Nothobranchius furzeri: one gene and its partner. The protein of the gene in region 2 purifies or fractionates together with the protein of the main gene of each other region. This does not show direct contact. Links are inferred from orthologs where the notes say so. Each region holds a gene or a part of one and is shown on either strand. Other genes may lie near its edges. The genes, in order: vapal and slc22a15.

Region 1 (3,821 bases), on a different chromosome or scaffold from region 2:
AACATCTCAGCCAAATACCGAAGACCCAGAACAAAGTCCATCCGCTACTAGGTTCCTTTCCTGTTTTGCCCGCCTTCGTTTCCCGGCAACGGACAACAACTTCCGGGGTCAAATGCGCTGCTCCGTCTCTATAGCAGATGTAGAAAATCACCGGGAGCGTTTCTCCCTTCATAAAGGAGCTTCTTTCAGACATTAGGAGAGCTGTTTTGGTGGTAGCAGTCTCTCCTCCGAGCTGGTCTGTTTGCTGCTGGGTGTTTTTGGTTTATTTAAACTTGGCAACTTAACGTTGGTAAAGCTACTGTTAGCATTTTCGCTAACAGCTTCTTGCGTTTGGATAAGCTGTTACGTTTTGGTTTAGAGTTCATCTTTTTACAATCCAATCCAATCCAATTTTATTTATAAAGCGCATTCACAAGGCATTACAACCAAACAAGGCGCTGTACACTAGAAATGTTGGTTAATTAAACAAGCGATATTTAAACATGTTGAACACATATAAAAAATAATAATTTGTGGTACAAATTAATAAATGTCTAAATGTAATAAAATCTCCCTTTTGTTACATTTAGAGTGTTTTGGGTTTTCGGTTTAGTTTAAAATATCACCTTGAGGTTGGTTTAACCGCCCAGTTTAGAGTTTGGAACTTTGGAGATTCTTATTTTGGTCCAAAACCCTGTAATCTTTGCACAGTGGGACATCCCTAGTTATCTGTACTTTTGTTTTAATTCCCCACAGGCAGAATTAGTTTTATTACTCCCAACCTGTGGATGGAAAGATTTGGTTTTTTGTAGTTGTAAATAAACCCGATCATCATTTTAACTTTTAAATCCCATATTATTGTCCCTTCCTTTTTGCACACGAGCCAAACTCCCCAGGAAGAGTCGTAACACCACTCGCCTCACGCACATAAGTGACCAAGACGAAGCAGCATGGAGACACTCCGTCTCCAACCACCTCTCAGGCAGCAGCCTGTACTCCCAAGTTCTACACGTCACCAGAACATAACCAACCAACACAATAAAAGCAGTGTTATACAAAATGGGAGGCCTGTAGTGTTTATTCTCTTACAGTAACAATTAATCAATTTTTTGGAGGAATTTATTAGAGATTTTTTGGTTTTTATTAACTGTGCAATAGAAAAATAATCATTAGATTAATTGTATAAATAGTCATTAGAATAGTCGACTATTCGATAAAATAATCGTCAGAATAATCGTTTTAAAAATAATCGTTTACCCCCAGCCCTAATTTCTATATATTCTGCGGACACTGTGCGACTTTTTCGTTTGTAGCGCTCAGTTTCAGCTCACACCGTACGTCTGCTAGCAACACGCCGGACTTAAAATGTGCTAAAAATAGCAGTTTTTACACAACACGTCGGACTTTTTACTGTGTTGTTATTGATATTTGTTGTCCCTCGGGGTTGCTGCAGGGACACGGGTATTTATGAGTGGCGGAGGAAAACAAGAAAGTAAATAAATGTTTTGTGATCTGTGTAATTGGACATAACCACGGCAAACATGCTTTCTCGACAATCCTTGTTATTGTGTGAGAAAAAAAGTGTAGAAATTAAAACGGACGTGTGTTAATAGGGAAACAGCTGGCGAGCTGTTTGCGCAAGCGCCGTGAGCGGTTCTGGTTCTGTTTGGGCCACAGCCGCTCGCAGCGCTACTTCAACAGTTATTCTCCTAGTTTTTGTCTGGCTTGCAGGCTAGCAGATTCTCGCATGAGGGGGAAATCGGCTCAGGTTGTTTACTTATGTTTTGCACAGACATTTGTTTACTGTGAAGTAAAGTTGAAGTGCTGAAGTTTTGCAAACTAATTTTGAATAAAACTTGAAGAATAACTGGCAATTGCGTGCTCATTTTAAGAGGTCTTTCATAATTATAACATGTTATTTGATATAATGGTTTACAAACACAAAAGGGTAATTTATTAGAGTACTCGATTAATCGAAAAAAAGATTTGATAGAGTACTCGATTACAAAAATATTCGATAGCTGCAGCCCTAGTTTTATGCGATCAAGATAACAAAAGCTAAAACAGCTGTAAAAAGCTTACCAGAGATGTTGACGGTTGCACCAGCATCGATGACTCCACTATTTGGCCGTACGCAGTACCTTCGTGGAGCTGTTGTCTTGACTTTGAAACACACTCTTCTCTCAGAGGGATTCTTCAATTTGAGGTTACTGGTAACTACATCTGTAAAAGGACCTGGTGCACAGAAAACAGCGAACACAAGGGCATCACTGTTTAAGCACACTGTGGAAGACCGAGTAAAAAACATCCCTGAAAACTAAAACAATCTGTTACATAAATCACTAAAGAATAAACAATTTTCTTTGATTTGTGTCACATGTAAAAGGCGAACCAAATGAATGACCGGTGTATTGTATATTACTAAAGTCAAAACCGTAGAAACTCAACATCTGTGGATGCACCACCCTCCTAGGAAAAACAGCAGGTCTGTGATGTTTGTAGCTGAGATTTAATGAAGACTTTAGGCTTTGAAAAGATCAGTAGAGAAACAGTAAAGGGCAATTCAATTTGAACTGTGATTGAAAACCTAATTGAATGGTGGGTTGGAAAGCAACTTCTCAGGACAACTCTAACCTCTATAGCTAACAAAAAAAGCTAAGCTCTGCCTAGATTAAACAATTACATTAAAAGCTATGACATAAAGTTAAAGAATATTACTATGTAAAATTTGAGATGCACAAAAACCTTTAAGACTTATCCCTGCATCAGTTTCCAGAAGCAAACCAACAAACCACCTGAATTGATTATGCTTACTTCCAGACAGATAATTTCATATAGAGGTCCCATGATGATATCAAGGCCTTTCCAAGTCAGGTCATACATCAGGAGAGCGGTGGTTGCATAACAGGTATCCACCTTGTGACGGGCCTGGCTTCAAATTAAGTCCTTAGCTGTGGTCAGCACTAGCAGCTTTGATCGTCTATGCCATGTCAAAAACAAAACCTGCTGCCAAGTCAGACGCACCTTCAACTTCAAGTAAACAATTAGCCTGGGAGTCAGAACATGTCTCATGACGCTGGAATTCTTTAAAATGGTTCAAAAGTTTATTTTTTATAGCAAAATAATGACAGAATTTCTGTAAACTGACCAGCCTCTAGAATAAGAATATTAAAACATTAAGATCAGGCACATTTATTAATAACTAATCCCAGTTTTTGCAATCCTCATAAACTTCTACTTGTTTACTAAAAAAAAATCAGGCAGGGTGATAAATTATTTCTAATCCAATTTTATATCAAATGAAAACAGTAATATTAGATTAAATGAAACCATTATTCACTTTGTAGTAAACCCAGAGCATCGTCCTCCTGTGCAACGGTGCATAGAAAGATAAATAGGCCAGGTTTATTTATGCAAACCTTGCAGATCTTTTAATCCAGTGTGAACATAAAGAGAAAATATGATTTGTCTAGAGCTGTGGACATCAACTGGTGGCCCGCGGGCCACACCTGGCCCATCAGACCTTTCCGCCCAGCTTCCCCATCATTACTGAATCAGGAAGAGAAAATGGATGTTCTACTTTTTTCTGTAATAAATTAAACAAACTGAAAAACAGCCTTTAATCAGAAATCACTATAAACTCAGGTCTTATTCAACATTTTTTATTTATTCTGCAGCAGTTTTTAGAATCTCTGTTTTTGCGCTTTCCTCTAAAATAGTGTATAATTGCGATTTCTTGACAAAAAAACACTCAACGGAAGAAAGCAACATGTACAAGATTCCTATTTGGGAAGCAGTTCTGCTCTCCATCTGTTTTTATAGGACCATAGCGTTTTCAAAAC
Region 2 (4,471 bases):
CCGATCACTAGCATCACCTGGAAGCGTAACGGAGATTTTGTGGCTGAAAAGATCGACGCTGGGTCTGCCATTGAATATTTTGGGGTTCTGAAGGGTCGCTCCAGACTCAACTCAACCACCGGGGTGCTGACCGTCAGCTCCATGAATAAGGACGACAAAGGCTTGTTCACGGTGGAGATCAACGGTAAGGACCAGAGTGTTGGCTTTAACGTTGTAGAGGTCCTGCCTGTACCTAAACCCGAGGCCATCGTGAGACCTCTAACGTGCAGCGACTCTTCTATTGAATGTAAACTGAGCTGCGAGCCGACGGGACCTCTTGTCAACGTCGAGCCTGTTGAGTACTTCTGGATCCTGGGAGGGAAACAACAGCCGGGAAAGAACTTCAGCATCACCAACGACGAGAAAACCAAAGCAATCAAGACGTTTTCCTGCATCATCAAGAATAAGATCAGCCAGGAGCAGAGTGAGCCGCTGGAAAACCCCTTCAACAAAAAGCCACCCGGCCTTAATGGAGGTGTGGTGGCTGGGATCATCGTAGGTGTGTTTGTTTTTGTCTGTGCGACTCTTGGAGTCGCATTTAGGAAAAAAATCAAACCATATTTACAGTGTTTTAAAGACGACCATCATTCCGTCCCCGGTGAAGAGGGTGGAAACAAATAGCAATGATCAAGATCAGTAACACCAGGACAGGGACCCAGAGGATCTCTATTCCTCCAGGTCCTGCTTGAATGACTTGTGACTGGGGGAAGAGCTTTAAAACATATGCAGCAACTAATAACTGAATATGACCACTTTAAATGTCCAGGTAGTGTCTTCTCAGAACCTTTCAGGTCTCTTAGCGACATGATTCGTGATGAAATGGGTGTTTGTTTAATTACTGATCTACCTTCTTAAGTTATGAATCTAGTTAAATGGACGTGAAACCTGAACCATCTGTGCTGTTGCTGTCTGAGTGAACATAACCATGAAGCACTGCAGCATGGAGACAGTGCTGGTGAGGAGATGCTGGACCATGACTGTGTGTTTGCTGGAGCTTCTAGAAGTCATCTCTGGAGGACTTGCATGGGGATGAAGCATGGCTGCTTTGCTGCAACATGAAAACCTTTCAAATGTATAACATCCAACTGTGTGCCATTTTTTTTTTTTGTAAATTTTCTAATCTGCTGTGATGTGTAAATGCACATTAATATTTTGCACTGGTTTGTTTTCCTTTGCTCCCAGATCTCGATCCCTAACTCTTGCATCAATAGTTTTGCTTCTTTGTGATTTTTTTTTTACCTGAAAACTTGACCGATGGACTAAAGAAATCAGGTCTTTGCTGTATTGTTTTTGTTTTTCCCACCATAGTGTTTCGGTTCAGTTATACTTTAAAATGATCCCATTTTTGAAGACAAACTTCAGGCGACACTGGGACATAGAACCTTAATGACTTTGTAGCCTCCTGAAATAATATTCATATCCACGTACTCAAAGATAGTCTTTTAGGGAAATCACCAGTAAAATACGGCTTATGGTTTCTGCATAGCTCTGAGCTACTTGTCCAAAAACAATGTTATTAATTCAGATCCTGATTTTACTGAGGATCTTGTGTTCACCTCACATAGAAAGGTGTGCCATTGGCTAAATAGTTTCTGTTTAATGCGATGTTTCAGAGAACGTCTTAAAGCACTCAATCACAAACCCCGATTCTATTTATTAGTGATGTTTTAACTGTTACTCTTGTGGAAAGTGCATTCAGAATAAATCAACCATTGCTTCACGAACTCTGGCCTGTCACTGACTGAATCCGCCGGGGGAAAACAAAGCGACGAAAGCGGAAGTAAAAGATGGTCACTCCTCTCTTGGTGCTAGCTGGGGGCGATGCTAACTCACATTAGCATCCGCTCGCACTCTGCTTGGATGGACATTGAAGCAGCTTTCCAGGTCGTCGGAGAGTTTGGGCCTTATCAAAAACGAGCGGTGACCGTGCTCGTCCTGGCGCAGGTTGGTGGCTCCACAAATAAACCATTTATCATAAGTAAATGATGGAAGCAGCGGGAAGCATCAGTTAGCTGCTGCAGTGTTGAGTGGCTTTCGAATGACTGACGGAAGTGTAAAAAAATCTACAGTTCTGTTTTTTACCTAAAACATCTAAACATACCGAACTATTTTCTATGACTTCCCTAAATGTGATAAAGCTGACACTAGCTGTCGTGATGTGCCAGAATGATGATGACGTCAGGTAAAAGCCCAGGTAAAGTTGTGAAATGCAGGCAGATTTAAACGTATACAAAAGAGCCAATAAAGCCGACAAAGCCTCGCACCTTGTGACTCAACTCATTAGTCAGAATTATTTTCACACACGACAATACTGCCCAGCTTTGAGTGGACCTTGTACATTTTCTGATGCTTTGTTCAGTTCGGGACAGTGGCGTGTCCAGATATTAAAATGGGGTGGCCCAGGTGAGGCACAACTTTGTGCATGGGTGGCACCAATGGTTATGCTTTTTTTGTTTTACCCCCAAGCCTTTCGTGGACAATGAAAAGCCTATTTAACGGTAAATTAGTGTGGTGGCACCTGGGGTGGCCAATTAGATTCCAAGGGTGGCATGTGCTACCCCAGGCCACTCCCTGGACATGCCCCTGGTTCGGGATTGTCTTGGTAAACCCTAAAAGAGCCGTGAAGTAGAGACACTTCTACTGGTGTAGCAGGATAAACGCTCTTGTATTAAATGTGGTCGTTTTAACAGACTGGTGCAGGACTGGTCCATGTTTATAAAGCACGATCTGATGCGCAACTCCGATATGAAAGCTGCTGAAGTCACATTTCCAGTCTGGGTTATGTGGTTTGCTCATTTCCTTATCTTTAATTAATGCTATTATTTTGTTAAGTCTTACATTTTGTTAGTAAGACAATAGAAGTTATAATTGGAAAGAGCAATTGTTAAAAAGAATTTACGTTGCCTTAAAATAACCGAAATTCATTTTGTTGTAAAAAATCAGAATTGTGAACTTAAAATTGGGAATCGAATTGGGAATTTTTTGCTAAAATGTAAAAATAAAATGATTGGAATGACATTGACATGATGATTGTAAAAAAAGTAATTGAAGAACCACTGACACATATCTGTAATTTATCTTTTTATGCAGGCTCATTTCCAAAAAAACATGAAAATAGCTAAAGTAAAACCCCTTTATAAAACAGGCGACATACATCATTTTACTAACTAGACATGTCTAGAGCTGAGGAAAATAATCAAATAATCGATGCATCGGGATGTGGACATAAACGATTCTGCATCGTAGAAGAGTACGCCATAATCGATTATAGTGGAATGTAGTTTTGTTTTTTTAATGGCACCGCATCCAAATCTGTCAGAGTGAGCCTCCTCCACATTTACCTCCGCCTTAATGTGGTATTGCAGGGCTGAGCGCTAGAGTTGTCACCCGAGACCGAACCGGAACCGAATCAGCCCGACCGGTTCTGTTGGATTTGGGCTGTGAATTATGTTAATTGAGCGGGTTGTCATGCGGCGCGCTCCGCTCGCTTGATCAGCGACAGAGAGAGAGAGAGAGAGAGAGGATCGGAGGACGCTCCTCCAAACCGATGCTCCAAACACGCGTTATTATTTTCATAATTTAATTATTATTTCTCCTGGAAGCGCTCAGTCAGACTGCTTGTTGTAATGTAGGGAGATCCGGTCTTGGGGAGGGGGCGGGGTCAGTGACGGCGGCTGCAGCGTAATCATCTTTTATTTAGGGACATGGAGAAGTTGGAGAGAGAAATAGAAGTTCTTGTTCCACTTTATTCTTTTGTTTCATGATGATAAACTGATGTTAAATTCAGCTTAAAGAGAAACTGGGAGGAAGCTTTGGTTCATTTTAGGTTACAGGAGACTTGTCTCCTATCTGCTCCTCCAGAAACAGCATGGACATGAGGGTTACATGGTGAGGGTCCCACAGGACAGGTTAGTGGAAAGGTTTGTAGTTAGCTGGTTAGTGAAGGAGATCCATCAGCTGGGTAATTTAATCCTAATCCAGCCCACAGCCTTCTGCTGGTGTTATTATCAGAAAGAATAAAACACACATCTTAAATATTATTGGAGTGTATAATTTGTTTTATGTTTTATTATCTTCTGCATCAAACAGAACTTGATTCATTCTCCAGCATTTCAGAAACGAACTACTGGGTTCAAATAAAATAACAAACTAAGTCAAACATTTCATTTGGTGTTATTTCTGACACCCTTCGACTGTGGCATAAATATCTGACTCTAGAGCTTCTCAGAGACATTAAACACTCATATATGAACCCATTATGTATTTTATTATTACATTATGTGTCCTGTAAGTTTTCAGTACTTTTTTAGATTTTGTGAGTTTTTGCAAAGCGTGTTTTTCTCAGCCTGAGGCGTGGTGTTGAACGAGGAAACAGGTGTTTTACTTTGTTAAATCTTCTTAAATGTTTAAATGTTTTGTCCTAACCTGTTGT

What was found.
Region 1: the proteins of slc22a15 (region 2) and vapal purify together in Homo sapiens (co-immunoprecipitation; 3 studies listed by BioGRID and IntAct, with this or other methods). This does not show direct contact. The link is inferred for Nothobranchius furzeri from reciprocal best matches to the Homo sapiens genes SLC22A15 and VAPA.

What each region holds. Positions count from the first base shown.
Region 1 is NC_091751.1:42,874,881-42,878,701, reverse strand, and holds part of vapal (VAMP (vesicle-associated membrane protein)-associated protein A, like), read right to left. Parts: intron 2,215-3,821; coding exon 2,062-2,214; intron 1-2,061. UniProt on the Homo sapiens protein: Endoplasmic reticulum (ER)-anchored protein that mediates the formation of contact sites between the ER and endosomes via interaction with FFAT motif-containing proteins such as STARD3 or WDR44.
Region 2 is NC_091752.1:45,755,952-45,760,422, forward strand, and holds the start of slc22a15 (solute carrier family 22 member 15), read left to right. Parts: upstream 1-1,628; 5' UTR 1,629-1,860; coding exon 1,861-1,983; intron 1,984-4,471. Other genes in the region: CD48 antigen, read left to right, coding at 1-660. UniProt on the Homo sapiens protein: Organic zwitterion/cation transporter with apparent specificity for amino acids and their derivatives. Has low affinity for its substrates and may regulate their flux across the plasma membrane at high substrate concentrations.